Rhinolophus ferrumequinum: one gene and its partners. The protein of the gene in region 1 interacts with the protein of each later gene in a pairwise test. Links are inferred from orthologs where the notes say so. Each region holds a gene or a part of one and is shown in the gene's direction. Other genes may lie near its edges. The genes, in order: CDC5L, KIF3C, BICRAL and XAB2.

What was found.
Region 2: the proteins of CDC5L (region 1) and KIF3C interact in a two-hybrid assay, tested with the Homo sapiens proteins (2 studies listed by BioGRID and IntAct). The link is inferred for Rhinolophus ferrumequinum from reciprocal best matches to the Homo sapiens genes CDC5L and KIF3C.
Region 3: the proteins of CDC5L (region 1) and BICRAL interact in a two-hybrid assay, tested with the Homo sapiens proteins (2 studies listed by BioGRID and IntAct). The link is inferred for Rhinolophus ferrumequinum from reciprocal best matches to the Homo sapiens genes CDC5L and BICRAL.
Region 4: the proteins of CDC5L (region 1) and XAB2 interact in a two-hybrid assay, tested with the Homo sapiens proteins (2 studies listed by BioGRID and IntAct, with this or other methods). The link is inferred for Rhinolophus ferrumequinum from reciprocal best matches to the Homo sapiens genes CDC5L and XAB2.

What each region holds. Positions count from the first base shown.
Region 1 is NC_046286.1:13,593,766-13,601,448, forward strand, and holds the start of CDC5L (cell division cycle 5-like protein), read left to right. Parts: upstream 1-4,286; 5' UTR 4,287-4,405; coding exon 4,406-4,450; intron 4,451-6,737; coding exon 6,738-6,841; intron 6,842-7,683.
Region 2 is NC_046296.1:54,369,451-54,378,078, forward strand, and holds the start of KIF3C (kinesin-like protein KIF3C), read left to right. Parts: upstream 1-5,360; 5' UTR 5,361-5,906; coding exon 5,907-7,442; intron 7,443-8,628.
Region 3 is NC_046286.1:12,313,221-12,321,069, forward strand, and holds the start of BICRAL (BRD4-interacting chromatin-remodeling complex-associated protein-like), read left to right. Parts: upstream 1-4,465; 5' UTR 4,466-4,545; intron 4,546-6,165; exon of another isoform or gene 6,166-7,849. UniProt on the Homo sapiens protein: Component of SWI/SNF chromatin remodeling subcomplex GBAF that carries out key enzymatic activities, changing chromatin structure by altering DNA-histone contacts within a nucleosome in an ATP-dependent manner.
Region 4 is NC_046301.1:56,686,075-56,693,767, reverse strand, and holds the start of XAB2 (pre-mRNA-splicing factor SYF1), read left to right. Parts: upstream 1-4,101; 5' UTR 4,102-4,169; coding exon 4,170-4,220; intron 4,221-7,693. Other genes in the region: PCP2 (Purkinje cell protein 2 homolog), read left to right, coding at 613-621, 960-1,074, 1,374-1,498, 2,225-2,344; protein PET100 homolog, mitochondrial, read right to left, coding at 2,468-2,551, 2,879-2,911, 3,070-3,156, 3,826-3,852. UniProt on the Homo sapiens protein: Involved in pre-mRNA splicing as component of the spliceosome. Involved in transcription-coupled repair (TCR), transcription and pre-mRNA splicing.

The sequences.
Region 1 (7,683 bases):
AGATGCCTGGTTCCTTTCAATGCTGGGAAACGCAAGGAGGGGTTATAGCCTGAGCCCACCCTGGAGCGTGTGGCAGCCACTGCTGAATTGAGGAGCCAGCATCGAAGCTTCCAAACCTGGGCTTTGTGAGAAACACGTACATGCCAAGTGAACACTTCTTGTTCATGAAGGAACCCAGCCTCAGATCAAATAAGAAGCCTAATATCCCGGGGACTTGTTTTCTGAGGAACTATGGCTGCCTCTCCAAATATGGAGAGGGTGTGGGGGGCCGCTTCTGGTGGTGATGGGGGTGAGCCTGGGTGTGATCATCTGGCTAGAAATGTGTTCTTTTGGTCGGGTGCAGTGTGGGCTGGAGTAAAAATTGGGGTTCCCTTAGAAAGGGAGGACAGAATGGATGCATGAGGCGTAACTATACTAAAATTATTTGTTGTTTACCTGAAATTCAAATGTAAGTGGGAGTTCGATATTTTTATTTGCTAAATCTGGCAACTTACAGCAGAGGTGGCACAAAGGAGAGGGATTTGAGGGCTACGTAGGAGGCAAGAGGTAAAAGTGGCAAGACTCTACATGGGATGGCTTGGATATGGGTGGAGGAAGGTATGGGAGGAGGAAAAGTGGCAGCAAGATGGATGTTGGTGCTGTCGACAGGGTAACATGTAGAGTCTACCCCTGTGGTATCTTTATACACTTCGAGAAAGATGTCCTCTTGGTGAACACAGTCCCACAATGTACCACTTGAGCAGTGTGCAAACTGGATTTCAGCTCCATTTGTCCCTTGTGCAGTGAACTACTTAAACCCCCGTACACGGCAGCTGGCAGCCTTCTGCTATTCACTGAAATAAGGAATCCCGTGGAGAAGTATAGATTTTCTGGGGGAAGTTCAATTTTGGGAAGTTGAAATTGAGGAGCCTGTGACTCACACAGGAAGAACCGTCCAGAATTTTGTTGGGCATTTAAGTCTGGGGTCTGGTATATGCATGTGAAAAAAAAAAAGTCTCTTGTGAGAAATGTAAATCCCAAGTCTGTGCCATGTGGATGCAGGGTCTAAATATAAATTACCCGACTGGAATATTAATCCTAAAATGAGAAATGAGCTCAAAAAGACCCTTGAACCTCTGGGGCCTGAGAAAAAAAATAAATTCTCTTTGGGAACACTTCCCCACCTGAGGGCACAGGGGACTCCCTAGAAATAACACTCATGAAGATGAGCTTCTGAGAAAAAAATTACAAACTACAGCTGGACCTACCACAGGGAAGTCTCAGTAGGTGAACCTCAAGCCAATTAGTATGATTAACCATGGTTAGCAATACAATGTGAATTACCAGCATTTAGGGTGCATGGGATTCCATTTTGTAATAACTTGACACCCAGACATTAATTTTTTCCAACACTAGCTGAGGAATTTCTAAATGGGAGGGAGGGGCTTAGGGATGGCAGTCTGGTAGATGGGGTAGGGCTAGAAGACTGTTTTGAAACTGTGTTTGCAAAGCAGCACAGTGTTTCTAGTTAAATTCCACCTGTTTATTTGGGGAGATGACGAAGATTATGGGAGTGGCTAATCCCAGCCCCTAACCATGCCTTGTTATCATAGGCTTTTGACCCTTTTTTTTTTAGCCCTTTTCTGGACAGTTTCTTGATGCAAAAAACAGGATGAAACAGAAACTAGAATTTTGATTGTTTTCTCTAATAAGCAAAGTTAGCCCAGTCAGAACCAGCTTCCCAAAAAGGGATGTGGGGTGGGGGATAATGCAACCTACAAAACCCTCCTGCTAACATCTCTTGTTACCTCTTTGTAAGCTGGATGGACCTCCAACCTCTTTCCCCTGGGCCAGAATTTCCCAAATTGTGTTTCCTGCATGTCAATAGCTACTATAAGAAAAAAGTTTTCCAGGGTCAAATTCGTTTGGAAAAGCCATATTAAAAAGGGAGGGTAGTGGTTTCCTAGGGCTGCCATAACAAAGTACCACAAACTGGGTGGCTTAAAATGAGAAATTTATTCTCTCACACACTATTTTGGAGGCTGGAAGTCTGAAATCAAGGTGTCAGTCAGGTTGGTTCCTTCTTGGGGGCTCAGAGGGAGAATATATTCCATGCCTCTCTCTTAAGCTTCTGGTGTTGCTGGCAATCCTTGGTGTTCCTTGGCTTGTAGATTCATCACTCCAACCTCTGCCTCCTTTACAAACTGTTTTCCCTGTGTGTCCACATCGCTTCTTTTTATAAGGACACCAGTGATTGGATTAGGGCCCACCTTACTTCAGTATGACTTCATCCTTAGCTTGATTACATCAGTAAAGACTCTATTTCCAAATATGGTCATACATATAGGTACCAGGGATTAGGACTTTGCACATATCTGTTTGGGGGATATAATTCAACCCACAATAGGGAGAAAACGATTTCTTCATCTTATAACTTCTTACAGGCTTTAATTTTGGTGACTCTGTGAAAGGGAGCTGACAGAGCGTACTGCTTTTTTCAAATTCAAGTAATTGTGAAAAATTTGTTTATTTTAATGGAGTATCCCAGTGTTCTGAGGAATATATTTGGGTGAGTGAGGAAGAAGTGGAGGCTCTTTCTCATTAAGCCTCTGTTTAGGAATGACCACTCCCTTTCCTAAAGGTTCACAATGACAGAAGGTACAGTTTGATTTACTGATGGTGACTGTTCCTCATGGCTGCCTTGTAAAAGATTTTTGGCAGCCCCTGGGGTGAGCTGGCCTCTTTGTGGGGGCCCTGAGGTCTGGCTGGGGAGGCTGGGGTGACATGGTGGGTTGGACTGGCCAATCCAGGCCATGCTGGAGGACAGCCTCTGGTGTTCATGGCTATGGGGCGCTGGTTTGAGACATCCCAGAACTGGTACGATGTTGCATTTTCTGAATGCTAACATGGAACATGCAACTTGCATGTTCAGGGAGGCCTTGGGGGATATCTGACAGGGTTGCTCTGTCTGAATGGGCAGGTTGTATAACGCATGCCCCTAGGGGAACCGATTCACATTGTAGATATGGTAGATCTAATTTTCTTATAGTTAAGAATGTCCTGTTCTCAAAACATTAGTATTTTGCGACGGTTTTCCAACAGATGTCAATAAAGTGCCTTGAAGAAAGGGCACCTTTTTCTAGTTGGTATAAAGTTGGTATAAATGGGGTAGAGGCGGTCCTGAGGGGGAAGGAAACACCATCATCATGGTGTTTGATCTGAAATGCTAGATCTGAAATGGCTCTCGAGAGGACTAGATTTGTTAGGAATCGTGCTTACAAATAATAGAAACCCAACTTCAACAGGCTAAAGCCCAAATGGGAACTATTCATTAGAACTCAAAACAGGGATGCATTTAGGACTGTTTTGAGGAACATACTGCATCTAGGGTCTTCTGTGTAGCCAGGACCTACCTGTCTCTCTACACTCCTGTCTTGCTCCTCTTAATGCATCTGGCACCTGCTTTTCCCCCATTTTAGTCTACATCGTACAAAACATGGTGGCTGACAACTCCTGGGTGTCACATATTAAGAGATTCATCAAACCAGCAGAGAGACTGGCCTCTTCTAGGTTCCAGTGTCAAAATTCCTGGGGAGAAGACTTAATTGGCTCAGCTTTGATCAGATAAATCAAACAGCCAGTATGTGCATGCGTGTGTGTGACACTGTAAGCACAGCAACTGAGATGATGTTGGGTGTGGAGAGGGCAGGAGGTAATGATCACACATCCTACAGAGGGTTTCTGGGACAACCACTGATCACGTGGGGTTGCCCTTCTTGTAATGATATGACATTTTGAGTAGTTACCATGTATCAGATACTGTGCTAGGTTTATGATCTCATTTAATCCCTAGGACAACCTTATGAGGTTGGTACTATTATTATCTCTACAGGTTAGGAAATTTCGGCTTAAATAAGCTCTTGCCTTTTCCTGAGTACTCCGTGCATAAATTCCTATGAGTTAAACGCCTAATAAAGTGATAAATTAATAATTTAAAAAGCTCTTTTCCGATCAACTGGGCTGAAACTCCACACGCATGATGTGCCCACTCTCCTCCACTAGGTGACGTCACGGCCAATCCCACCACCACGTTCCTTCTCGCGAAGATCGTGCTTTTCCTCCACCCTTCTTTGGCCGTGCGCGCCGCCTAGTGCGCTTTGGCCAGAGTGGATCGACGGTTTTCTGTTGGTCTTCCTATATTAGAATTTTAACAAGGCACTTTATTTTCCTTGCAGCCACCCGAATTCTCGCGATACTTGCAACTCTGCTTTCCCCCCCCCCCGCCCCGCCTTGCGCCTGCGCAGATCTTTACAAAGGAGAAGGTCGCGCCTGGAGGAAGTGGTGCCTTTGGGTCCCGTGGCCGCAGCGCCGTTACTACTTTTCTGAAGCTCCTCTCGGCCGCTTGCCGAGACACCCCACCGCCAAGATGCCGCGAATTATGATTAAGGGGGGCGTATGGAGGAATACCGAGGTAAGTCTCCTTTTCCCGCCGTCCGCTGCCCTTCGCCCCCTCCGGCAGCTTGTGCGCACGCGCGCGGAGGTGGGCGAGGAGGGGAGGATGCCCTGCGGGGTCTGCGTGGGGGAGGCGCGGGCTGGACCCTCCGGCCTTTCGTTCCCGACCCTGCGTTATCCGAGCACTTCAAGGACGGGGACCGTGATTTAACCACCTGACTACCTGCCAGGCACTTGTTAGGCCCCCCAGTGAACACCTCTTGAATTGAGGACGCGCCCCTCTCGCTGGAGGAACTCAAGAGTATGGAGGGGAAGAAGGGACATCAGCGAGAGTCGGTCTCCTGGGCACTTCCGTGCCTGAGCCCGGACACCGCGCCTCTCTTTGATACTCACAAATAAAGAAGTGCTGTGGCCACAACTTTGTTTCTTCATCGACTTCCTTGCAAAGGGAAATAAGCTTGAGTGCCAGGTTCGAAGAGCCCGTTTATGCCCGCATACCGCTGGTTATCTGTTATCGAGGCATAACTTGCCTGCCCTCCCCACAGGTCCCAAGGCCTGTCTCTTCCTGTCACTCTTCCTCACCCTGGATAGAAGCCAGATGGGATCAACTGACTTCAGTAGTTTCTTTGCTTCCAGAAATGTAGTGGATAGTGCCAGGGGTGAGCCAAAGAGCAGCAGAGACGGAGTAAAATAGAGATAAGGTGTTAGCCCAGTTTGTGTTCCTGAGTGCACCGAATTTGTCAGTTTCTGGAGCACATCGTATCTTTTCATGATCTGTGTCTTTTTATATCTTGTGCTTTCTTTAAATATCCTCCTACTACTTGGCATCTTCCGCCATCCTTCAAAACCTCTTCTTGGAAGTTTTGCCCATTCAGCCTGTAAACATTAGTCGCACCCCAGTGGTCCCATGGCTCTTCTCTCATCCATTTGTTATAGCTTGCTTTGTCCTTTTGCAGGCATCACATCCTTCTAGGTAATGCTGCGTACGTTTTTTTAACTTATCACAACCTCAGTTTTCTCATCTTTCTTATGGGGATCATAATAGCTGTCTCTTGAGGTAGATTAAATGAGTCTATGTATTTGGATCATTTAGAACAGAATCTGGCACATAGTGGTCTTTCCGTAAGTGCTACTTGCTATTTCTTTCCCCCAGCAGACAGCACTGGAAGAGAACCAGATCCCTAGAACCTAGGACAGTAACCAACAGGAAGTAGGTTGCTTGGCAAATGTTAGCAGAATGAATCTAATAGGGTAGATAACTTAGGTGAAGATGTGTTTAACTAGAGCAGTACTGCAACAAAGTTACAAGTAAAGTCAGTGATAACCTTGCATCATTGTACAGAGGGAACCAAGCCATTTAAACTGGAGAAGAGGTGACTTCTGGGGGAGAAACAGATGTACAAAATCAAGTAACAGCAGGACTCCCCTCCAGTGGCTGAAGCCCTGCAGTCTTTTTTAATCTCTGAGGATGGGAAAGTGGAGTGGGGTGGAAGAGCTCATGTGTGAGGCATATAGCTCAAGTTCAATGTGGGAAAAACCCTAAAAGCAAAATGCCCCCAAGTGCGTTCGTCTATGGCTCTGTTATCCCTGTTGTCTTTGGCTTAGCTTGCTGGGCTCCTCTGGGATTGGTTAATTCCATATTGGAATGGGTGCCACGGTGAAATAGTGTCTAGATACTTGGGGAGGTTGGAGGCGGGGGAGAAATTCTTAATTATTAGGTTTGACCTGGGATGTGGATTCTTGGATCAGAGTGGGGGTTATGGAATTGGAGAGAAAATGCCGTTTGTAAACTGGAGGCAGGAAACCTAGATTGGAGAATGGAATCACTAGAGTCTTAACTTGCTACTTGAGGGTTGGATATGTCCAATTCAAAACCTGATATAAGGTAGGTGTTCAGGAAATGTTCTTTGAATGAATGAATGAATAAGTGAATGAGCTGTATAATTTTTGAGGAGAATGAGAGTCATACTTTGGAGAATACGTTTTGTTACCCTCTATCAAGTAGGGTTTCGTAGATTGGGCTTTACCCATCTCAGTTTATTGGGGGTGGAGGGAGAGGCTGTAAAGAAGGGTAGGGTGTCCTGAGAGATGTCTTCTTAGTTTCTTGCATTTTGCTGATTCTGGCTTGCTGTTTATTATGATAGTAAATGAGATTTTTGTACTTTTTTTTTTTTTTTAAAACCTAGGAGGTATGTGTGTCTTTCTCTTTCTTGCTTGCTACCCTGTCAGAGTTAATTTAAATTTTGTCTTTTCTCGCTTGGAGTTTTGTGATTAAATATGTTGTTTTTTTCTGACAATTCTTTAAGGATGAAATTCTGAAAGCAGCGGTAATGAAATATGGGAAAAACCAGTGGTCTAGGATTGCCTCACTGCTGCACAGAAAATCAGCAAAGCAGTGCAAAGCCAGATGGTATGTACCAGTTAATGAATGGAAAACAGAAAAACGACCTTAGTTAAAATGAGGAAAATGTCAGTTCTTTGAAGCTTATAAAAGAAAGCAGGCATTGTGATATAACAGAAAGGATGGAGTGGGAGATGGGGATTTAGATTTAAGACTTAGCTGTCACTTGCTTCCTATGTGATCTTAGGCAAGCTATTTTTCTGCCCTCTCTCCTGTGCCTGTTTTCTTCCAATTGGGTGATAATACATCTTGGCCTTAACTGCTGGAGATACGAGGCTCAAGTGAGTTAATGTGCTAAAGAGTACTTTGTGAAGCATAAAATAATTCTCCTTTTATTTAGAGATGGACTCCAGCTTATAAATCGTGTTCCCAAAGTTTTAAAAGTTGATTAGAACTTACTTTCCCAAAGAAATAAATGATAAATAATGGTTAATTTTCTAGGCTAGTTCACAGTAGTTTTCTCATAATACAGTTGAAATATTGTATATTTGCTCCCCCAAAGTATAACATAACCCAACACTGCACCTGGGGTGTCCTCTTTTAAGTCACAGAGTAGTGGACACACTAAACTTTCATAGGTGTTTGTGGCATGAGTGATCTGGCCCCAGCGCTGACCCATGTGGTACGAGGACCGTATTTTGAATTGTACAAGAATGACCTAATTTCCTAGGTGCCTGGGTAGGGGAAAGGATCAGAATGTAGAGGTTGGACCCCAAAGAAGAAGATGGTCCTGATTTCTGTTTCTCGTAGTGGAGCTAAGCCCCTGTCCTAATGTTTGGTAAGGCTTATATTTTCTTTGCCAGCCTCTCATCTTGCTAAGTAGAATGGGTGGAAAAGGTGGGTCGGGTGGG
Region 2 (8,628 bases), on another chromosome or scaffold:
AAACATGTTCTTAAATTAGTTTTGTCATGAGAATATTAAGTATAACAAAGTAGAAGAAATCCAGTTGGGGAGACAAAATATTTTCATAGATGGATGGATAATGCCATTAAAAAAAAAGTAGACACTAATTGTCACAGGAAGTAAAGACAGAAAGCGACCCCTGGGGCTGCAGGAGGCAGGGACGTCTGTACTGAGGAGGCAAGAGTTGAAATGGATGTTGAAAGAAGAAGGTGGAGTTAGTCCAGGTAGGGCCTGGATTGAGAGATGAGCCTGGGGCCCAGTACAGGATGGTGGGAAGAGTATATAGGCTTTGGAGTTGGGGAAATTAGACTCCAGTCCCAGTACCACCTGGGTTAATGTGAAGGTTAAGATAAATCATCCACAATCCCCCTAATAGGTGTTCAATAAAGGGTAGCTCCTAAGGATAGCGCTTTTTTAATATTCAGATTTTTTTTAATTTCAGATTTTTCTGTTCTTTTCAGGAAGGGCATGGGGAGTTGACTCAAATCCTATTCACCAGAAATTACAGAAGAGGGAGGGGAAAATAATGTATTGAGAAAAGAGGAACTATAATTAATCTAGACTTGGACACAATTGGGGGTCTCTTGAATTAGATAATATCACAGTGCGTGAGAGCCCAGAAATTTGGATCTCATCCATTGATTTTGTCACATAGTCATGTCTCCCTCTGCTGATAGAACATGGTTTTACAGTGTAAACCCAAATCCTGAATTACTTGGACCTGAAAATTTGCAGCCCTCAGGATTACTAAAGAGTTAACTCTGTCTTCTTGGCATAATCTCTGCCTGGCTGTCACTGGAACCATGCTGGAAGAAGAGGTTGATATGGGAATCCCCTGGGGAAAAAACAACTTTCAGCAGTGAAGGAAGCTTCTTCTTTTCAAGTCAAAGATGGGTCTGAACTCCAATGAAACTGTCGCTGAAACCAGGACTGGGAAGCAACTGCTCTGCCATCTCCACGGTAAGCATTCCTTGTGACATAGGGGGAAGACCCCCAGGGTTGCAGGTTTGGAGTCTGGAGACTGACTATGCCACTTGGTGGGTGGGTTTCCTTCCTTAGTCACTTTATTAGCCTGAAGCTTAGCGTCCTCACAATATTAATATTTTCCTCTTTCTTGGGGTTGATATGAGGATCAAGTGAGTAACATATGTGATAATACTCTATTAACTGTAACTCCTACAAATGTAAGAATTTATCACTATTACTTTTTTTATTTTGCCTCCCTGTTTTTTTGCCCTGAAGGTCTTGGAACATTCATTCACTTAGCAACTGATATTGATTACCTAAAGTGTATATAGTACTGTGCTAGGTATGGGGAAATGAGACACAAAGACAAAAACCACAGCTTCTGTCTTCGGGGAGACGTACATTATGTTGAGGGAGACAGATGCCGTTAACCACAGTACAAGTCAGACTAGCTGTGAGACTAGTTAACAATGAGCTATAGAATCGTGAGGAAAGGAAAGATTAGTTAGAAGGCAGAATCAGAGGAGTCAAAGGAGGCTTCCCAGGAGAGGTAATATTCATATTCATAAAAAATAGTTATTGAGCACCTACTATGTGCCAGGAACTAGATTAGTCATATGGATACAAAAAATGAATGAAACAGACATATTATGTCTTCATAGAACAACAGAGAAGGTGGATGAATAATTATTTAATTACAATTATGCTAAGTTCTGTGAAAGAAATACAGGGATGAATGAGAACATATTACAAAGGGACATAATCTAGATGAGGAAGTCAGGAAAGGTGCCCTCATGAAGTGACATTCAAGCTGAGAGCTAAAGGATGAAGAGTAGGTATGTAGGCAAGGAGGATGAGGATAATTGTTCTGTGCAGCTGTACAGAATGTGTAAGGGCCCTGTGGTAGGAAGTTGGCAGGGAGTTGGAAAAGGTCATTGTAATGAGATCAGAGAGCAAAGTGGAGAGTGGCATGAGATGTGACAGGAGACATGAGACGTTACCAGATCATGTAGGGCCTTGGGGCCTGCATTCATGACATGGGCTTTCCCTTAAGAGCCATGAGAAGCACTGGAAGGTTTTAAGCATGGGGGTCACGTGTTATTAAAAGATTATAGAGAATGGATGGACGGAAACAAGAGCAGACCTAGGCAGACCAGATTGGAGGCGACTGTAGGAGGCCAGACGAGAGATGCCATCATCTCTTGGGTCATGATACTGGCTGTGGAAGTGGAGAAGAAGTTGATAGATCTGAGAAATATTTAGGAAGTTGAGTTGATAGGATTTGGTGTTTGAATGGATGTATTGAGGGTGGGGAAAACGTTGTTTACAGAGCTAGCAAATATTCTGGGAGGACCAAATTTGGATGGGAGAATGGTAGAATTTCAGGATGCATAAGAGCCATTCAAGTGGCTATGTCCACTAGCGAATTGGATAGATAGATTTGGAGCTCAGAGAAGTCTGGACTAGAGATACAGATTTAGGAATCATTTAGACAATAATTGAAGCCACAGCTGTAGTGATCACTAGAGGGTGGCATGAGAAGAAAAACAGGATGTAGGACTTAGTGTTAGTGAACTCCAACACTTAAGGTTGGGGTTGAATGAGATCAACTGGTTAAGGAGACTGAAACTGAGCAACCAGGACTCCTAGGAGCTGTAGGAAGAAAACCAGAAAAGTTCAGGGCCATGAAAACCATGGGCAGTGAGTCTGACAAAGAAGGAAGTGGATGATTGAAAGGGGCCCACTGGAATTGGCCGTGGAGTTCACTGATGTCCCTGGTAAGGGAAATTTCTATTGAGCGGCTGGAGGAGAAGCCATATGAGATCGAGTGGTGGCATGAAGAGAAGGTGAGGCTCGGTAGACAGGGACAAAGGTAGGAGGACATTTCAGGCCAAGGAGCAGCATGAGCAAAGGCATGGAGATGTGAAAAAGTAGTGTGTTTGGAGGATCTTAAACAAACCAGAGGGACTAGAGACCTGAGTATTTAAGAGGGTAAGGTGGGGAAGGATGGCTGAAGACCATGCTGAAAAGGGAGACAAAGAATGTGAACCACCTGAATGCAAAGGACAAAAGGAGGGAACATTATTTCTTGAATGACTTCTATGCTCTGGGAGTTTTCACATACATTATCTCACTTAATCCTCTTGTAAACTCTGTGAGTCACGTAAACATTTTTATCCTTACTTCTCCCACTGAGAAAAGAGCTGTTCATAGAAGATGAATAATTTCCTCAGAGTCGTAAATCTTGTCAGTAATGGGAATCCAGTCTCCCTCTCATATGGGAGGATCTGGGCAAATGCCCGGCCAGGTGGTAACATCAGGTGGGGAGAACAGGGCCGGAATCCCTTTTATCCAGCGCCGTAGTGTCAGGTGAGTTAGCCAAAGCAGAGAAAGGATAGTCCAGAAACCAAAGCCAAGTGCAACACGAAAATAGTTCAAGAGTCAAATGGTCCATCCAAAAGTCAGGTTGCCAGAGCCAAGAGAGGTTAGTCTACAAAGCCCAAATCCCACCCAGTAATTGGTCTGAAAGCCAAGTTAATCACAAGCAGTGGAGTTTGATGAAAGAAAGGGCTAGGAAGCCAGGAAACGTCAGAAGTGGGCCAGCCACCAGCTAAGCCTCAAGCTTCCATTTGAGCTGGCATTCAGATCTTGGGGATTTGAAGATGGGGAAGAAGTGAGGAGACAGATTCTGTAGAGTTGAACAACTAAACAACTAGGCTCTCTAGAGAATAACATGATTGGAAATGTTTTGTAGACAGATTCTTCTGGTGGCTCTATGAAGAAGCACCTCGAGATTTCAGATAACAGCACCTCCTCAATCTGGATCTCATATGGAAGGTAAAGCTAACTGGGGCCCAGTCCACAGATTCAACTCCCCTCTGCAGAGTGGAACATGGGTAGGCCACTGGCTTGGTCCTTGAACTTGAGGAATTACACTTGATTTATATCCTACAGGAAGAAAATATGAAGACCCCAAAGAGAAGCACCAAGCACAGACCTGGCATATCCAGAATGCTGGAGGAAGCAGGAACTATCAGGCAAGCCAAGGCTATGTGCGTTATTAAGGGCTTACTTAAAAATAAGTCTTCTCATTGGTACAATACTTTATGATTCATTGTTTCATTTGAGACTCACAACCACTCCCTGAAGTAGGTATTATTTCTCTCCCCCTGTTCTGATTTCTTTAAACAGATGAGGAAACTGTGGCTGGGGCAAGGTAAGAGATGCCCAGATTCACACAACTGTGTGAAGGTCAGAATTGGAACTGGAACCCAAGTTTTGTTTTATGCAAATTCTGTGTCTGTTTCAGCTACGGAAAAGACATTGGTCAGGGAAGGCTTCACAGAGGAGGTGCTTGAACTCCCAAGTGGCAGGGCAGCAAGTGCAGAAGGGTGACAGGGTCCTCTGGACATAAAGATGCAACATGGCACAGCCAGATAAACAAAACATGGTTTCTAGAATGGGAGCTCCTTGAGGACAGGAAGATCCAGTTCCTTGAATGGGACCTGGGTTTTGGCAGGTGCTGGATAACTCTTTGAAGGAATGGAATACAGATTCTGTACAGGAGTAGCTGGAAGGGAGGCTGGGAAGTAAGGCAGGGGTCAGAAGATGGAGAGCCTTTTATACAACAGAGAAGGTGGAGGAGGAGGGGAGGGGACCAGGTTGCAAGAGCAGAGAACAGGTGAGGAGAGAATCAGCTGGAAGGTGGTTCCAGGAGAGAGAAGAGGAAGGCCAGAACTAAACCAGGGTAGGGAGAAGAAAGGACAGAGTAAAGAAACATTTGGGAGTCAGGATACCCGGTGACACCCTGCAAGGGAGCAGTGACATGTACCGTCTGCAAGCAGAAAGGCTGGAGCATTGGAGAGATGGAGGATGGTGGCTGTGGAGCAACAATGTTGGGTGGTGTATCACCCCCTTTCCCCCACCAGGTAAGCGGCTGCAACCTCAGCAGTCACTCCAGGCGGTTGCATGCCAGAAAGGGTGGGGCCTCCCGGACTGGGGAAGGCAGCAGCAACCTGCCGGATGCGGGTTAACAAAGGCAGGACTACAACTCCCAGCATGCTCAGGCCCAGTGGGGTGACGGCGGGCGGTGGCTGCGCTGCACCCGCCTGGTGGGCGCAGGACGTGGGTCGGCCCCCGAGCCTGTCATTCCGGAGGGGTCTGCTGGGGTGCGGGTCGGCGATGCACCCCTGGACCCCGCGCACCGGCATCGCTGGGCTCGCATCTCCCGCCCCGCGGCCCCTCCCCTTGCCCCACCCCAGCCGGGCGGCTTAGCTGGGGCCGCAGCGCGGCTGCAACATCACTCTCGCCGCCGCTGCTCCGCCCCATCCCCTTCTGTTTTTCTCTCATTCTCGGGTGGCGGCAGCGGAGAAGGCGGAGGCAGAGGCAGCAGCAGCAGCGCTGGCTGCGATGAATGATCCCCCAGCTGGGGGAGAGGACTCCAGGTGAGCCTCTGCCCTCTGGAGGGCCGGGACCCCCGGCCGCCCAGGACCTGCAGCCACCGCCATGGATCCCTAGAGGCGGGGGTGGAGGAGGAGGAGAAGACAGCCCTGCCGCCCACCCCCATCCCATTTTCCTCTTCCTTTATCTCATTGTTGCCATAGCTGTTTACGGCAGCGCTCCTCTGCCCCAGCATGGGGCGGGCTCCCGGCACTGCCATTCGGCCGGCGCGGCTCCCGCGGCTGCCCGGGGGTTCTGCCTAATTCTCTCTGCCCAGCCGGTGCAGCGGAGAGTGGAGGAGGCCCGGACTGCAGCAGCGGCGGGGCCACCTCCCAGCATCCCCACCCTAGGAGGCTGCATGCGGATTGAAGAGCGGAGCCTGGGGGCTGGGCCGGCCCTGCTGATACCTACCTAGGGGGGACCACCGGACTGCCCGGGCTGCGGAGGGGGCCGCGGGCCGGGAAAGATAGAGGAGCAAGATGGCCAGTAAAACCAAGGCCAGCGAGGCCCTGAAGGTGGTGGCCCGGTGCCGACCCCTCAGCCGGAAGGAGGACGCTGCTGGTCACGAGCAGATTCTGACCATGGATGTGAAACTGGGCCAGGTGACCCTGCGGAACCCCCGCGCTGCCCTGGGGGAGCTGCCCAAGACCTTCACCTTTGATGCCGTGTATGATGCCAGCTCCAAGCAGGCTGATTTGTATGATGAAACTGTGAGGCCCCTGGTAGACTCGGTGCTTCAGGGTTTCAATGGCACGGTGTTTGCCTATGGCCAGACGGGCACTGGCAAGACCTACACCATGCAAGGGACCTGGGTGGAACCAGAGCTTCGTGGGGTCATCCCCAATGCCTTTGAGCACATCTTCACCCACATCTCCCGCTCCCAAAACCAGCAGTACCTGGTCAGGGCTTCCTACCTGGAGATCTACCAGGAGGAGATTCGAGACCTGCTCTCCAAGGAGCCCGGCAAGAGGCTGGAGCTGAAGGAAAACCCGGAGACAGGTGTCTACATCAAGGACCTCTCCTCCTTCGTCACCAAGAATGTCAAGGAGATCGAGCATGTGATGAATCTGGGGAACCAGACCCGGGCGGTGGGTAGCACACACATGAATGAGGTCAGCTCCCGCTCCCATGCCATCTTCGTCATCACTGTGGAGTGCAGTGAGCGTGGCTCTGATGGCCAGGACCACATCCGTGTGGGCAAGCTCAATCTGGTGGACCTGGCTGGCAGTGAGCGGCAGAATAAGGCAGGCCCCAACACAGCTGGGGGGACAGCCACACAGTCCACCGGGATTGGCGGCGGTGGAGGGGGCGGTGGTGGTGGAGAGAGGCCTAAGGAAGCCTCCAAAATCAACCTCTCGCTGTCTGCCCTGGGCAACGTGATCGCTGCTCTGGCGGGCAACAGGAGCACCCATATTCCCTACCGGGACTCCAAGCTGACCCGGCTCCTCCAGGACTCTCTCGGGGGGAACGCCAAGACCATCATGGTGGCCACCCTGGGGCCAGCTTCTCACAGCTACGACGAGAGCCTCTCCACCCTGCGCTTTGCCAACCGGGCCAAGAACATCAAGAACAAGCCCCGGGTGAACGAAGACCCCAAGGACACGCTGCTGCGGGAATTCCAGGAGGAGATCGCCCGCCTGAAGGCCCAGCTGGAGAAGAAAGGGATGCTGGGGAAGCGGCTCCGGAGGAAGAGCAGCCGCAGGAAGAAGGCTGTGTCAGCCCCGGCCGGGTACCCCGAGGGGCCAGTGGTGGAGGCCTGGGTGGCCGAAGAGGAGGATGATAATAACAACAACCACCGCCCGCCCCCGCCCAGCCTGGAGTCCACCTGGGACAAGAACATGGAGAATTACCTCCAGGAGCAGAAGGAGCGGCTGGAGGAGGAGAAGGCGGCCATCCAGGATGACCGCAGCCTGGTGAGCGAGGAGAAGCAGAAGCTGCTGGAGGAGAAGGAAAAGATGCTGGAGGACCTGAGACGTGAGCAGCAGGCCACAGAGCTGCTCGCAGCCAAGTACAAGGTAAGGGCCCCAGAGGGAGCAGGGGCATCCAGAGGTCCCCAGAGGGATCTGAGCCAGCAGGTCTGTGACATGGCTTGAAGCATCGTGTCGTCCCCTTGCACCATACACTGCCTTCCTGCCAAATACTCCCCTGGAACAGCCAGGTAAATTCCAGGCAGAGCCTCCCAGGGGCACCTAAGAGGATGGACGCACACACACAGACACACACACACAAACACACACACACACACACACAGAGCAACGCAGGCAGGTGGTCTCTCAATGAGCGTGGGCTGGTCTGACCTGCTGCATGTCAGTCTCTGCCAGTGGCCCCCTAATAGCGGTCAAGTCCACGGGACGGCCAGGCAGGCCCTCAGCCTCATCTGGGGTGGGTTCTCACTCTTGCAGAGCCTCCTCCCTGTGACCTCCCTCTGCAGCACCTTCAGACCTTACACTGTTTTAATAATATCTGACATTTGGATAGCATTTCACAGTTAACAAAATGCCCCCCGTACACGATCTCATTTGATCTTTACAGTAGCCATCCAGGGTGCTGGTCCTTAAATCCCCATTTTACAGGTGAGGAACTAAGGCTCAGAGAAATGACATGTCCATGGTTACATGCTACGAAATGGCAGAGCTGAGCAGGAACCCATGGGCCTCGTGCTCTTTCAGTTCTTGGATGGCAAGGGGGGACTAGGAATGGATTCTACTCCCTGCAAAAGCAGTCCACGGGGCCCATGCGGGGCAGGCGCCACTGCATGGTATCATTTGGGGAATCACTCAGAGGCTGGAAAGAGCACGGGGCTCCACACCGGAGACCTAGAGTGTCGGCCCAGCTCTTCTACAGCTTATTGAGAGACCTTGTGTAAGTTGCTTCCTTTTTTTCCTCAAACCTCAGTTTCTGATTTTGTAAAATAGAAGGTTGGCCTGGGAGATTTCTGAGACTCTTCCAACCCGATCATTTTTGACCTGTATTAATTTGAGAAGCAAACCAGCTGACCCCCACACCTACGCCTTATCCCAGTAAGATCCAGTTCCCGTCGCCCTGAGAGGTATCAGGGCCTCTGTCCTTCCGGAGCTGATCCTCCCCCGGGGAGCCTCCAGGCCGGAGGTGGAGCTGAGCTGCAGAGGCCCCACCAGGCCAGCCACAGACCTGCTAAATTTCAGTGCTGCAGATGTTCCTGGCATTTTTAGGTCCCTGGAG
Region 3 (7,849 bases), about 1.3 Mb from region 1:
GGAAACAGGCTAGATGTGTAAGACAGCAAGGCCGGTGGGAGTGCTGAATGCCTTTAAAAAAGAGCCAAAAACAGTTCTGCGTGTACTCCTTATCCTTGTACTAAAAGCCTGTAGGAGTTCAGATTTTTTTTTTTAAGTCTGTCAAGGAAAATAACCAGCTTGAAATATGTCATGACTAGAATAGCCTTCGTCTCTACAAAGATGATTTGAAGTGTTTATATTCATGTATCAAATAAAATAATAACGTAGGCAGAGTATTGAAAACATTTGTAATCGCTCCAGATAAATTTATTTACCATTGCTTTGAAAATGATTCCACATTACTTCTAATAATAGTATTAACCACAATAATAATGACAACTATTATTGAATATTTACTACATACCAGGCACTAAAGCCAGGGTTTTGTGTACCTAATATCATTTCTCTCTCCCCCTACCAACCTGAGATATACCGATAGGTATTGTTACTTTTATTTTACAGGTGAGGAAACTGAGGTAAGCAAATTTTAAAAAGTAGCGTAAGATCACATGGCTAAAAAGTGACAATGAAAAAGCTCTAACAGATACGGGGGAGTAGGGAACCTTAAACTATAAGGCTATACTGCCTGTGATCAATTGGGCAATGGTTTTATGTGGTTCAGGGAGGACTTACTGTACTCCTTTAATATACAGGGCTCTAGGTTGAGATACACTCATTTCTCGTATTCTTACACATCTCGTGGACAGGGCTGTTTTCCTTTTATCATGCAAGTATTGATTGTGAGCTAACTATGTCCAAAGTACTCTGCTAGGCCCTTGGAGAATGGAAATCCCTTGAGGAGCTCCCTATCCAGGAGGGAACATGAGAGAGATATGTGAGGTTGAATTATATGAGATTGCCCCCTGGGGAGTTTCCACGGGAAGATTTTACATGGTTCAACCTGACACACAACCAAAACAAGGCGCCACGCTAAACATTTTACATGCATTAGTTCCTGAATCCTTAAAATAACTTTCAGACACGAGTACTATAATTATCCCCATTTTATAGATGAGGAAGTTGAGGCACTGAGGGGTGAAGAGACTTGCACATAGCCACATACCTCGTGTCTGAGAAAGGTGGAATTGGAGCCCAGGTCAGTCTGAATACAGAGCCAGTGCACTTAAGCCCCAGAATGTAAGTTCCTCTAAAGGTACACATAAAGGTATGCACCTTATTTATACACATTGAGAATTCTTACATTTTCATTTCACAAACACTACATAGAGGGCTTACTAATTCATCTGGTGTATTTTGGTATTTCTGTGACCTGGACACATCTGGTCATGCAAATCACCACCTCAGCTCCAGCATTTGCATATTCCCCTCTGAGAATGGCCAACATTTGGAAGAATACAAAAAAACAGAAGCATTTTCACTTTTAATTGTTATGTGGACGTTGGGCCTGTTAATTGGAAGGCCCAAACACATGCTAGAACATTTCAACTATAATTACATCTTTTTTTTTTTTCCTGTGTCCAGTTGCCCTTCTTTCTAGGTCACCAACACAGAGGGGAATCATAGGAATGACCATTTAAGTGTATATAATTAAATTATAGGCAATGCAGTTCAAGTTACTTGCATATAGTCAAGCCATTTTAAGAACCTTTCTCTTAAAAAGTTTCCTAATCTTACCTTCAGATACCAAAATCCTGTCTCTATATACCATAATTTAAATTTGACATACACAGGCCTATCCCTTATTTAAAATGTTTTTAATCACGTGGGAAAAATTAAGTTGTTTTTGTTTTGTTATGGTAAATGATTTCAATTTTGGGGGTGCCTCGAGCTGAGGTGGTGATTTGCATGACCAGATGCGTCCAGGTCACAGAAATACCAAAATACACCAGATGAATTAGTAAGCCCTCCATGTAGTGTTTGTGAAATGAAAATGTAAGAATTCTCAATGTGTATAAATAAGGTGCATACCTTTATGTGTACCTTTAGAGGAACTTACATTCTGGCGCTTAAGTGCACTGGCTCTGTATTCAGACTGACCTGGGCTCCAATTCCACCTTTCTCAGACACGAGGTATGTGGCTATGCGCAAGGAAATTCTCCCCACTGCTGTCCCAATATTTTGTAACTCTCCCAAATTTAAAATCACACAACTGACATTCTCCAAGTAGGTCTTTACTAAGCAGAGGGTCGTCCCCTCTGCCTATGACAGCACTGAATCCTGTTTATATTGAAACAGCAAGATCCTTTTCAGGCCTTGAAGAGAGGGTAAGTTTTAGAATCCATCTGACCTGAGTTTCTCCCACCAGTCTTTATTAGGCTGATGACCTGAGGCAAATTACTGAAATTATTGGGAACCTCATCTGCAAAATCAATATAACTAAGCCTTACTGTACAGGTTTTCATGAAGGTTCATCCAATAACGTATATACGTATCTAAGTGGCATGTAGTGGGGCTTCAATAGATGTCAGTGCCCCCTGTATTTGGGTATTCTTTCAAAATCCTGCAGTAGCTATACTCTTTATGGGAATATGAATTCAGTTTTGTTTGGCGATCTTTTAAAGTCAGATTTGTGTTTCTTTGGGGTTTTGACCAACTTGGGAGAATAGCTTTCTGAAAACCATTAATATTTCATTGGAGCTGTGGAGCAACAGTTGTAAAACTTGCTTGGTGGGTCTTAATTGCAATCATGCATGGACTCTTTTGAAATGTAATTCTTCAAAATGGGTATTATATAATTAAATTCCAACCAATCCAAAGGCACTTTAAAACATGTTTAAAAATTTCCCAAGCCAATTAGAAAACTGGTTGGTCCAACTGTCAGTGTAGAAAAATATGCTAATTTATGCAAAGACTACTGTTCCAGGAAGGCCTTGGCTGAATGTGAAGCACGTGTGAGAAAACACCTCCATGATACTATGTGATACAAAATCACTAAGTGTATTTTTAAGGAATATCTAAATACAAAGCATGTATTGTGAACGGACAGAGTGGCAGTTACTTGAACAAGATATGGTTTGTTTTGTTTACAAGATCTTCTATCTTGAATATGACAACATTTGTGCCTACCTTGAAATATTTATTTTGTGTGCGATATAATAGTTACAGTATCCTTCTAGAAGCAAGTAAGGTGCACAACCATTACCTTTAATGAAGCTAAAGGGATACAGAAACCAAATAATAATTTCATGTAAATAATTTAAATCCAGGGATCATTTTACTTAGAATTTACCAAACATCTGGGGGACGTGGTTTTGAGCATTCTGTTCATCAGCAGAACCCCGTTGCTATATGCGTTACAAATTAATTTAAAATAATTTTAGACCATTTCTGGGGCTTGCCTATGCATTTTTAAAATCTGAATCACATTCTTGTACAATTCATCTTTTACCTATCCTTGTTTATTTAAACTAAAAGCCAACTACAAACCCCCCACTGTATTTTCCTGGGCATTTACAGGACAAATCAATGTAGTTAATCTAGATCACAAAGGCACCCTCTCCCAATCCACATTATCATAGTTAACGTTTACTTAAACGCTCTGTGTGCTAGATGGTTTATGGAGATGTCTCCACAGTGAGATTTGAGATTTAAAATGGGTGGTAATTACACTTAAAAGGTTGGGTAGCTCCCTTTTTAAAACGGGAGATTATGTAAGGAAAGTTCCACAAATGTGGCGATAAAGTATATCTACATGTAAAGAGAAGGCAGTGGGAACTGGATGTGTTGAGAGTGACTTACTCAGTTCCTCACCTTCATCTTGGCCGCTAAAGTTGTTTTCTTTTGTTTTTTTCTGTTTAATGTTGACATACAGGCTTCACAGATGAGGTTTCACACTATTTTGGAATGGAAAGAGAGGGTGTTGCAAAGGAAAGCTTAGTACATTTAAAAGTTAGAATGAATCAGTTATTTGCGAAATACTAACTAAATTAAAAGTGACGCTTTAGTTTTTCTTTTTAAAAGCATATGCAAAAAGTATTTACTGGGGCTTGTTCTAATTAGTGTTCTAAACAAATATTTTTGTTTTTAACACCCTCCCCCGACTTCGAGCTAAAACTGGTTGTGTGTGTGTGTGTGTGTGTGTGTGTGTGTGTGTGTGCAGGGCGCCTGCGGAGAATAGCACGCATCTTGTAGTAGATCTTAATTTTTTTTAAAAGCCAAATAAACCTGTTTCTTAAATAAACCAATACATTTCTAAAGTTAAACAGAACCCCAAAGGAAACAGGAATTAACAGCTTTGGAGCTTGATTTAAAAAAAAAAATTTTTTTTAAATTAAAATCCTAATCTCCACATTTTTTGTTAGGCAAGAACCGAAGTTTGGAGGTAGACGAGCAGGAGAGCGGTTTGCCCGGGCGCAGAGCATGAAGGCCGGGCGGGCGCGGGGAGCGGGCGCCCGCCGCCCGGCGCGGGGGTGAGCAAGAGAGAGAGCGGAGCGCGTGTGGCCGGCGCCGCTCGGCCGGGAGCTCCCGCGCCCGCGCCCCGCGCCCCGCGCCCGCCGCCGCCGCCGCCGCCCCTGGTGCGATGGCGCAGAAACCCCGTTGACAAGGCACTGCTTTTTCATGACGGTGAGTTTCCCTTTGAGTGTATTATAATTTTGTGATAAAAATTTCAAGGAGAAAAAAAAAACACACAACCTCCTTCCTCTGCCTTTTTCCTTCGGGGAGGGGACAAGCAAGAAAGGGGGGGGCTGGAGATCTATCTCCAGACAGACAGAAAAGAAAGAGGAGCAAATTAAACACCGAGTTGCCAAAACCAGGATATTAGGTTTCAGCACAGAGAGCTATTGGCTAAGGCTGTGTTTTTTTTTGGGGGGGGTGGGTTTGTGGGTGGGTGATGGTGGTGGTGGGTGGATGTTTAATGGACACAGAGAAAAGGGGAATCGAGTGTTTATACCTTTCCCAGCGCCGCCCGGGCCCGGGAAGACCAAGTTCACTGTCTCGGGCGGGGGCGCGGGCGGGCAGGGGGTGGCGGGGCCGGGCCGGGGGCGCCTCGGCGGGGTGGGGGCCCCGACGCCTTTTTTTTTTCTTTTCCGCGGATGCAAATTTCTGGAGCGGGGAGAGGGAGAGCCTGGGAAGGGGGGTGGCGTGGCGGTTGGTGGTGGGGAGGAGAGGGGAGGGAAGCCTTTTAATGACTCATTGATTGAGCCGATTTAAAATTAGTTGTGTGCGCGAGTGTGTGTTTTCCGCCCCCCGGAGCCGCCGGGAGCCGGGAAGGAGGGAGCGGGGCTTGGCGAGGGGAGGACGGCGCGGCGGGGCCGCGAGCAGGGGGCAGGGAGGGCCAGGAGTGACGGCAGGCGAGGAAGAAAAATCAGCTTTTCCAATCTCCTCCCCTCTGTTTCCCCCTCCCCCACGATTCTTTTCTCTCTTGGAAGCTCTTGGGTGTGAATCGCATTTTCTTTCTTCTCGGCAAAATGGACCCCGCGTCTCGGGAGGGGGAGGGGTCAGGGTGGGGAAGGAGGCGGCGGCGGGGAACGGGTTTGTGTTTCATCCTGGTTCTGTCCTTCCCGCCGCTTCTGCGGGCGGCCGCGACGAGGAGAGCGGGGTCGGGCCGCGGAGGGGAGCGCTCGGGGCCGGCTGCCCGCCCGGCCTCCCCGGCCGGGTTCTCGGCGCGTGCCTGCCGGCGGGACTGCCCCTTCCCCGCCGCCTCGCCGCCTGACTCGGAAGCACCGCCGGGGAGCCGCGGCCGGGCCGGGACGAGTCCTCCCGGCTTGCGGAAGACCCGCCGCTCAGCCAGGCGTCTCCTGCGGGGCCCGTGCGGCCGGCCGGGCCGAAGAGGAGACAGACTCGGGTGGCACTTATTTTGGCCGACAGTGCGCGGGCCCAATGCCGTTCGCGCCCCCCGAGTCGCCCCGAATGCGGGATCTTGCGGTGGGGGGGGTGGGGAGCGGCTGGAAGGCGCTAAGATGGCGCTGGGCCTGGCTCGTCGCCAGGGCTGGTGGCGCAGTTGCTCCGCGGGCGCCATCTTCCCTGGCGGCGCGGGCGGCGCCCTTCGTGGGCGCCGCGCGGGCCCCGGCGCCGTGAGATCGAAGCCGGGGGGAGCCACGCTCTGGGTGCGGAAAGCTGCCCATGGGGCCGGGGGCCGCACTGCCGAGCTCCGGCCTGGGTAGCTTTGTCCTTCCCCAGACCCAGAAGACCGCCGGCTCGGAGGGGACAGGGGCTGGGGCCCCGCGGCATCTTGCTCCTTACCACTCAAGTGTGAAGAAAGGAGTGGGCTGGGGGTCGGGCCTTGCAGCTGCTGGGTTCCCACCCTGAGCCTGGATCCCTGCGGCCAACGTTGGGGTGAGGGGGTTCCCGTCTTCTCTCCTACGGCCTGAAACCAGACGGCTTTGTGTCCCTGGTCTGGCCGCGGGCAGGGCATTGAGGCTTTTCCTTCATCCTCTTCCAATGAATTTTGCGAGTAGAGTCAAAGCAGGTTACAAAATTGCAAAAAAGTCCAGGACAGTGTGTGCCTGCCTTCCAATAACTTGGTTCTCTTTAGGTACCCAACGTTAGGTTTGTTTTACTTGGTTATATTTTAAAACAACCCTGGAGAGACATTTATCTAGTCAAATTGTGGAAAGGTAATGGGTTCCAGTGATTTGAAACTTCTTGATGGTTTTCATACTACTTTTCCAATGGTAGTATGTTAAAAGTTTCTTAGAACTCTGATCTGAAAAATTAAACTCGCTTTGAAATACTCACTTTGAAAGACTTTCCCCTTTCTCTTTCTCAAAAAGAAAAACTGCTCTGTTTTGGGTCTTGCTCAATATAAGGCTTCTCAGTTCCTCAACTCACTAGTTAGTGTCTCCTAACAAACAAAAGCTCATAGACACAGACAACAGTTTAGTGGTTACCAGAGGGAAAGAGGGGAAGGGGAAGTTAGGAAAGGTTAATGGAGGTCAAATATATGGTGATGGAAGGAGATTTGACTTGGGGTGGTCAACACAATGCTATATACAGATGATGTAGTATAAAATTGTACATCCCAATAAATTTTTAAAAAGCAGAGAGCAAATGAATATTAGTCACTTCTGCTTTTGCTGAGGGCCCATCCTGGGGTGAGTGGCTGTTGTCACACCAAAGGTGTCTGCTAGCAGTCATCAAGGTATGTGGTTTGAATCGAGGACATGGGGTAACTCATTAGCTAGTCAGTCACACTTTATTAGGGCAACAATGAAATTAATATGTAAAAGTTTTAAGTCAAAATAATAGTTTTATCCCCAGGCATGGCGAATCTTAAAGACCAGAAAATAAACATCTCTAAGTAGAACAACCCTGCTTCCTGAGATGAACTTTCAGTGGTATTGAATGGGTATTTTAATCTTATAAAAAGTGGTGTTTCCTACCAAAATATTGTTCCAAAATATTGCCATTTCCTCTGTACTGAAGACAAGATTAAAGGGCAAGCAGGGAGTTGGCAGTAATGCTTTTCAAGTTGTATTCTGATCACTGTTTTTAAATAACTTGATCGATAAATAAGTTACATATAATAAGATTTATTCATTTCTAGTGTTAAAGGTTTCCTTCAAAGCATCTGTATAAGTATCTGTCCTGTAGTAGCTCCATATTAAGAAAAGTTTGGATTTTAACTTTGTCACTGAAAAGATTATTGGGAGAATGAAAAAAATCTAAAGCTCTCATCTCTGAGTCGACAGAAATGGAAAATAGTTAATTTCTAGTAGTGAATAAAAGTAACAGTGGCACCAGTAAGTGTGCCCTTGTGTTTAAAACACACATACACACACACACAATAGTGGATGTTTTAGACCCTTAAATTAGACCTACCATACATTGAACACTGCTGTATGCCAAGAACTGTGTTTGGTGCTTTATTTAATTCCTGTTTGTATCGGTCCTGCAATATTGATTTTATTATCTCTTTACCAGGGAA
Region 4 (7,693 bases), on another chromosome or scaffold:
GGGCTTGCAGACCCCACCAGAGCTGCTCTGTTGGCTTCTCCTCTCCCAATCGGGACCAGCCAGCCTCTGCTCCCCACTGTTGCTGCACGCCACCTGAGAGTTCTTGGGGGCCAGTGAGTCCTGCAGGATCAGCAAGGTCCCCTCCCAGGTCACCAGTACTCTATCCCCATGGCAACCCCAGCATTGCACAGCGAAAACAATTATCTGGATCATCTTTATGGGGCTTAAGCTTGGGTGGGAGCAGATGGGGTGTGAGCCGGGGATTTGGGGCTGGGTATCCACTCTCCCCACTTTTAAAAAGCCTTCTCTGGCACAGGTCTGGGCCAGAGGCCAGCAGAGAAGTGGACAGGGCCAGGGAGCAGGGACAAGAATGGACCGGGAAGAGAAGGTAGATGGGAGTTTAACCCCCTGTGTCAAGGTAAGCAGGCCCACCCCTACTCACCCCCAACTCCTCAAGAGCTGTGAATGACAAGACTGACTAGTTTGTAGGGCACCTAATTAGTGATTGAGTCTCCCGGGACCCCTGACCTAGATTGCTGGTAAAGGAGGTGCTGGTGGGAACGAGGGTCTGAGTGCCTACCCAGGCCCCAGGGCAGAGGTCAACGCTTTCAGATGGCCTGGGTGAGCTGGGGGGACGCTGGGGCTTGGGGGCAGCCTGTGGTATGTTTCCCTAGCTGCTGTCCCAGCCCCCAGGCTACCCTGCAGGCAGGCCCCAATCTAGGACTGCGGGACACCAGCGGCCTCTCCCTTGAGGTGGCACCACGTGAAGTGGCTCTGCTGGCTGAGCCCCGGGGGCAGGGGCTGGGAAGGAGACTTGTGTCTCATTCAGAGCAGCTCTGCAGAGCAGCACATCAGCGGGGACTATGGTGAGAGCCGAGGTGGAGGGGAGGGCAGGGTGGTAGTTGGTAAGGGGTCCCCCAACTGAGGGGCCAGCTGGACCAGGTGTGTCTGTCCCCCAGGCGGGCTCCCCGGACCAAGAGGGCTTCTTCAACCTGCTGAGCCATGTGCAGGGCGATCGGATGGAGGAGCAGCGCTGCTCACTGCAGGCAGGGCCAGGAACAACCTCCGAGAGCCGTGAGTGGGCAGTGGGGGAGTAGGGGAGGTGTGCTTTCTGGGGGTTGCGACGGGGCAGACTGTAGGGGTACAGGGCAAATGACCATCTGGGGGGCCTGTGGGCAAGAGTCTGTCTGAGAGAGTAAGCCAGCAACTGGGGACACAGATGCCTGTGGGTCTGGGGGTAAGGGTGTGGGGGAGAGAAGAGCATGCTTCCTGGAGAATGTGAGTGGGGGCAAGGGGTGGGCCGGGGCCTTCAGCTGGGCTGTGTTCCCTGGACTCTGTGTGTGTTCATCCCTACCTGCCACTACTCCACACAGAGAGTGGCCCTGCGCCGGAGATGGACAGTCTCATGGACATGCTGGCCAGCACCCAGGGCCGCCGCATGGATGACCAGCGTGTGACAGTCAGTGCCCTGCCTGGCTTCCAGCCTGTGGGTCCCAAGGTAGGTGATGTTCTGCTGGGGCTGAGGAGACACCAAGCAGGCTGAGCCCCCTAACCCTGCCTCCCACCCCCGGCCCGGAGTGAATGGCCCCCCCACCTCTGTCCTTCATGTGTCCCCTCGTGATGAATGCCTAGGAGAGCCACCCTGTGTCCCTGTCAATCACGAGGCCCTGGCCAATCTAATACCTGACTGCAGACAGGAGGATGAAGGCCCACACAGGGCCAAGAGGTGCCCAAGGTCAGGCAGGGGCCCTGTTAATGTCAGAGCCACGGCTGGAACTCATGGCTCCTGCCCCCATGTATGAGGGTTTCAGGGAGGCCAGAGAGAACAGAACACCCCTCCTGGGAAGATTCTCCCAGGGCGAAGGGCCCATGAGCTCATGCACAGGACACATGCATCCATACACTCGTGTGTATCTATGTCACATGTAGTCATGCAGAGATTGGGTTCTGATCAAACCCCAGTGTGATCCCCAGGACCCCCACCTCACACCCAAATACCACTCTAAGTGTCGAGTAACTAAGGTATGTAGAAGCTTGGAGATGGTGGGGGCAGATGGTGGGAGCTGGGACACTGGTTCCAAACTGCACCCTCCCTCCACTGTTTGTGTCACCTCCGGCCCGGAGGTGGAATTGACACAGGGCTTCCAGTGTAATTGTGCTCCTCCGCTCTCAGTTCCCTCCTGCCCTTGGTCCCTCCCTCTGGCTGACCTCTCTTCATCCACAGGATGGAATGCAGAAACGAGCCGGGACCCTCAGCCCCCAACCCCTCCTCACCCCTCAGGACCCGACTGCTCTCAGCTTCCGTCGGAACAGCAGCCCCCAACCCCAGACACAAGCCCCCTGAGGGCCTGAGCTGTCCTGGGCCCCACTCGGGCCCCCTGAAAGCAGACAATAAAAACACTTTCACGAGCAACAAAGAACTGACTGTGTGTTATTTTATGGATGGAGGGCCTGGGACTTGGAGGCTTCAGGAGCTTTGCTGGGCACTGCGAAGGAGTTTCTCCTCCCGCTGCTTCCGTATCCTCTCTTTAAATTCTTCTAGCTCTTGGCGCTGAGAGTGAGGAAGAGGTGGGATGGGAAGGAAGGAGGGGGGCACATACCTCAGGGCCTGGTCCTTTCCCCCACCACTCTGCCCCCTACTCCCCAGGCCACAGCTTCAGCGTTCAGTGTCTACACTGGAAGCCCTGTGCCAATTACAAGAAGGGCCCAAGTGGGATCAGCTTCATCCTTCAGGGAGAGGACAATAAGGAAACCATGTGCTCCTCCGCTCTCAGTTCCCTTCTTATGACCCAGGGTAACATTTTCATTTGAATCCATCAAGGCCAAAGGGACCCAGGCCCTTCCATCCCTCTGGTGGGAGGAGGAGTATGTCACTTACCTGGTCCTCCTTCTCAGGTGGCCACAGCTCCCTCTGTGGGGACAAAGTCATGGATGAGCCAAGAGCCTCCAGAGCCCCACACCCAAGGCAGTTCAGCTCATAGGAGGCAGACATTTGTTCCTAGCAGGTTAGTGCCCCATACCCTCCCCCACCCCCTGCAATGAACCCTTGAACACTCTCCCTGCACCCACCTTGCGCTGTATGACGGTGTCCTCAAACCACTCGGCCTGATTGGCAATCCAGAACATAGCCACAGGGAAGGTGAGGTAGAGTGTCATCTGGAAGGTGGGGAGATGGGAGAGCAGAGCCAGCGGTAATCACCTTCCTCCGAAGTGCTGAGGTTGCTCAGAGCCTGGAGGACCATCCTCTGGCAGAACCCAGAGGCATTTCTTCAGGGCCCCCCAAGCAGCCTGGGATTATGGGAGTCTAGACCCCATAATACAAGAGCCCTTATTTTTGAAAGCTGCCTCCAAGTAAGGGAGACTCCCTCTCAAAAAAAGACACACACTCCTGGCCCCAGGAGTACAGGAGCTCCTACCACAAGCATAGGCATCTCTTTGAGACTTCGTTACCCAGCTTCCCCAGGTCAGTTCCCAGGAGCACTCCAAACCCCTCATTCTTCAGAATCTACTCCCCTAGTCTAGGAGTCTCCCTATCGGATACACACACACACCCATCCTGAGCCCAAGAACTCCCCCAGAGTCTGGAGCCTTCCGTCTTAGAGCCCCCACCCCCGATCACCCCTTTTAGAGGCCCTTCCTCACACCAGCCTTCCCGGAGCCCCCCGAACCGGGCGTCCCCTTCTCTGGGTTTCCAACCCTGAAGGGCCTTCTCAAATCTCAGCATCTTTCTCCCCAGAGCGCCCTCTCTTGGAATCCCCTTTTTTTACAGCCTCCTTCTCAGATCCAGGAAAACGCCCCCGCCCACCCGCTCGAGTGCCCACTGACCCGAAACACCTCCAGCTTCACCCCCATTTCGCTTCTCCGAGGCTACAAAGCAGCTTCCGCCCAAAGCCACCCCCCTCCAGCAAAACAGCAGCAGCTCATTGGGAATTCGCGGGACCCACCACTGAAGCTGATTGGCCGACGAGCCCCGGATGACGTCATCTCCGGGCTCCTACTCTCTGCTTCTGGTCGCTAGCGACGTCTAAGTGAAAGTCAACAACTTGTGTAGCAGTCTCGGGATGGGGTCAGCCAATAGAAAGTGAAGCTGGAGGGGGAGGGCGGGGTTGGCCTGCAGAGCAAGACGTCATTCTAACGCGACTCCTTCCTGTCGCTGGAGAGCCAGCAAAATGGTGGTGATGGCTCGGCTCTCGCGGCCCGAGCGGCCGGACCCTGTGTTCGTGAGTTTGTTGCGGGGCAAGGGGTGGCCTGTGTGGGGACATAGGGGCTTGGATGCCGCAGGCGGTCAGGGCCTGGCCCCCCGGGGATCTAGGCCAAGGGCGGGAGGACCGTAATGGGCCAGAGGCCGTATGGTGATGTCCCGGTCAGGCTGGCCAGGAGTAAAGGTCTGGTGCCGGAGCCCGGGGGCCTGAGCAAAGAACTGCTGTCGAGGTTAAAGCTCTGGCGTCCCGGGCCAGGGGCGGAAATGGGAGCGGGAGAGGAGGGAAATTCGAATAACTGAATAATTGAGAGGCCTGGTGTCAGAAGTAAAAGCATGGTGACCAGGCCAGGGCTCTGGGTTTCTGTGGTAAAGGCTTGGTGTCTTGGGTGACAGCCTAGATCTGGTCCTCAGCGTCATAGTTTCTGGGATAAAGGCCTGGTGTCTGGCTAAGGAGAACCCTGGGGTCAGAAGTAAAGACCTGCTGATGTGAAGCTGGTCAGGCAATGGCCAGTGGAATCCTGAAGAGGCAACGACTTGGTGTCTGGAGTAGAGGCCCAGTATCTTCGCTAGGTTCTTGGTGTTGCCCTGCGAACTCAAAGGCAGTCTGGAGGCTTTAGGTAGAAATGACTAGTAAAGATTTATTCAAGGGTCTTAGAGTTTGCAAACTGGAAACATAGCGAGGCAGAAACCCAGAAGTGTTCTAAACAGGAAAGAAAAGTTGAATTCTTATGGTGAAAAGCACGTTCCTGAGAGTAATCAGTTCTGCATTCTTCACCTGGAGGGTCTCGGAGGGTTATCAGTCAGATGTCAGATGGTCTGGATGATGGACATCAGGTGGCCTGCATACTGCCTTCAGGGGGGTATTAAGGGGGTTTTCTGGAGGTCTGGTGTATATCCACGTATTGACACACAGTGAACTGATGTATATATCCAGGCAGTGACAGAAGACTGGAAAGTTCAAACGGTCAAGTTCCCATGATAGTTAAAACAAGAATATATGCATTGCCTTGTTTCTCAGTCTACTTGACTTTTTAGTAATTTAGCAGCTTGACTATAGTGACACTATTTTCTTTTTTTTCTTGTGTTGAGGATATTTTCTTTTTACCCATCGCCCCCTTTTGCAACCATCAGATGGTTGTCCATACTGATGGATCTTTTTCTGTTTTGTTTTGTTTTCGTAGATTCCACATATAAGTGAGATCATACGGTATTTGTCTTTTCCTGTCCGACTTATTTCACTTAGCATAATACCCTCTAGGTCCATTTGTGTTGTCACAAATGTCAAGATTTCATTCTTTTTCATTGATGAGTAATATTCCACTATATATCCCATTCTTTACCCATTCAACCATTGATGGACACCTGGGTTGCTTCCATATCTTGCTGTTGTAAGAAATGCTACAGTGAACATAGGGGTGCATTTATCTTTTTTGAATTAGTGTTTTTGTCTTCTTGTGATAAATACACACGTGGAATTGCTGGGTCATAGGTAGTTCTATTTTTAATTTTTGAGGAATATCCATACTGTTTTCTATAGTGGCTGCACCAATTTATAATCCCACCAAAGAGTGTTTGAGGGTTCTCTTTTCTCCATTTCCTCACTAGCACATGTTATTTGTTGATTTATTGATGACAGCCATTCTGACAGGAGTGAGGTGCTATCTCATTGTGGTTTTGATTTTAAATTCTCTGATGATTATTGACGTTGAGCATCTTTTCATATATCTGTTGGCCATCTGTATGTCCTCTTTGAAGAAATGTCTATTCAGGTCTTCTGCACATTTTTCACTTGGATCGTTTGTTTTTTTGGTGTTAAGTTGTATGAGTTCCTTATATATTTTGGATATTACCGGCTTATTGAACGTATCACTGGCGACTATATTCTCCTGTTCAGTAGGTTGTCTTTTCATTTTGTTGATCGTTCCCCTCACTGTGCAAAAACTTTTCAGTTTGATGTAGTCCCATTTGTTTATATTTTTTGTTGTTGTTGCCCTTGCTCAAGGAGATATATCCGAAAAATACTGCTAAGATGGATGTCAAAGGTTTTACTGCCTATGTTTTCTTCTAGGAGTTTTATGGTTTCATGTCTTACATTTAAGTCTTTAATCCATTTTGAGTTTATCCTTGCATAACGTGTAAGAAAATGATCCAGGGGGCCTGCCCGGTGGCGCAGGCGGTTGGAGCTCCGTGCTCCTAATGCCGAAAAGCTGCCGGTTCGATTCCCACATGGTTCAACCACAAGGTTGCCAGTTCGACTCCTCTACTCCTGCAAGGGATGGTGGGCTGCGCCCCTGCAATTAAGATTGAACACGGCTACTGGACCCGGAGCTGAACGGCACCCTCACAACTAAGATTGAAAGGACAACAACTTGACTTGGAAAAAGTCCTGGAAGTACACACTGTTCCCCAATAAAAGTCCTGTTCCCCTTCCCCAATAAAATCTTTAAAAAAAAAGTGATCCAGTTTCACTTTTTTGCATGTATTTGTCCAATATTCCCAGCACCACTTATTGAAGAGACTGTCTTTACTCAATTGTATATCCTTGCTTCATTTGTCATAGATTAATTGACCATATAAATGAGGATTTATTTCTGGGCTCTCTGCTTTATTCCTTTCATCCACATACATGCTTTTATGCCAGTACCATACTGTTTTGATTATTGTAGCTTTGTTTGAAATCAGGGAGCATGATATCTCCCACTTTGTTCTTTCTCAAGGTTTATGTGGATATTTGGGGTCTTTTGTAGTTCCACATAAATTTTAGGATTAGTTGTTCTAGTTTTGAGAAGAGTGCCATTGATATTTTAACAGGTAGTGCTTTGAATCTGTATATTGTTTTAGGTATAAGGACATTTTAACAATATTAATCCTTTCAATCCATGAGCATGGTATATCCTTTCTATTATTTGTATCGTCTTCAGTTTCTTTAGTATCTTTTCAGAGTACAGGTCTTTAATCTCTTTGGTTAAATTTATTCCAAGGTATTTTATTCTTTTTGATGAAGTTGTAAATAGGATTGTTTTATTAATTTCTCTTTCTGATCATTTGTTATTGGTGTATAGAAACACAGATTTCTGTATATTGATTTTGTACCATGCGATTTTTCTGAATTTATTAGTTCTAATAGTTCTTTGGTGGAGTCTTTAGGTTTTTTTGTTTTTTGTTTTAATAAATTTTATTGGGGAATATTGGGGAACAAGTGTATTTCTCCAGGGCCCATCAGCTCCAAGTTGTTGTCCTTCAATCTAGTTGTGGAGGGTGCAGCTCAGCTCTAAGTCCAGTTGCCGTTTTCAATCTTTAGTTGTAGGGGGCACAGCCTACCATCCCATGTGGGAATCGAACCGGCAACCCTGTTATTCAGAGCTGCGATCTAACCAACTGAGCTATCCGGCCGCCTAGGGTTTTTTATATATAGTATCATGTCATCTGAAAATAGTAACAGTTTTACTTTTTCCTTTCTAATTTGGATGCCTTTTATTTATTTCTCTTGTC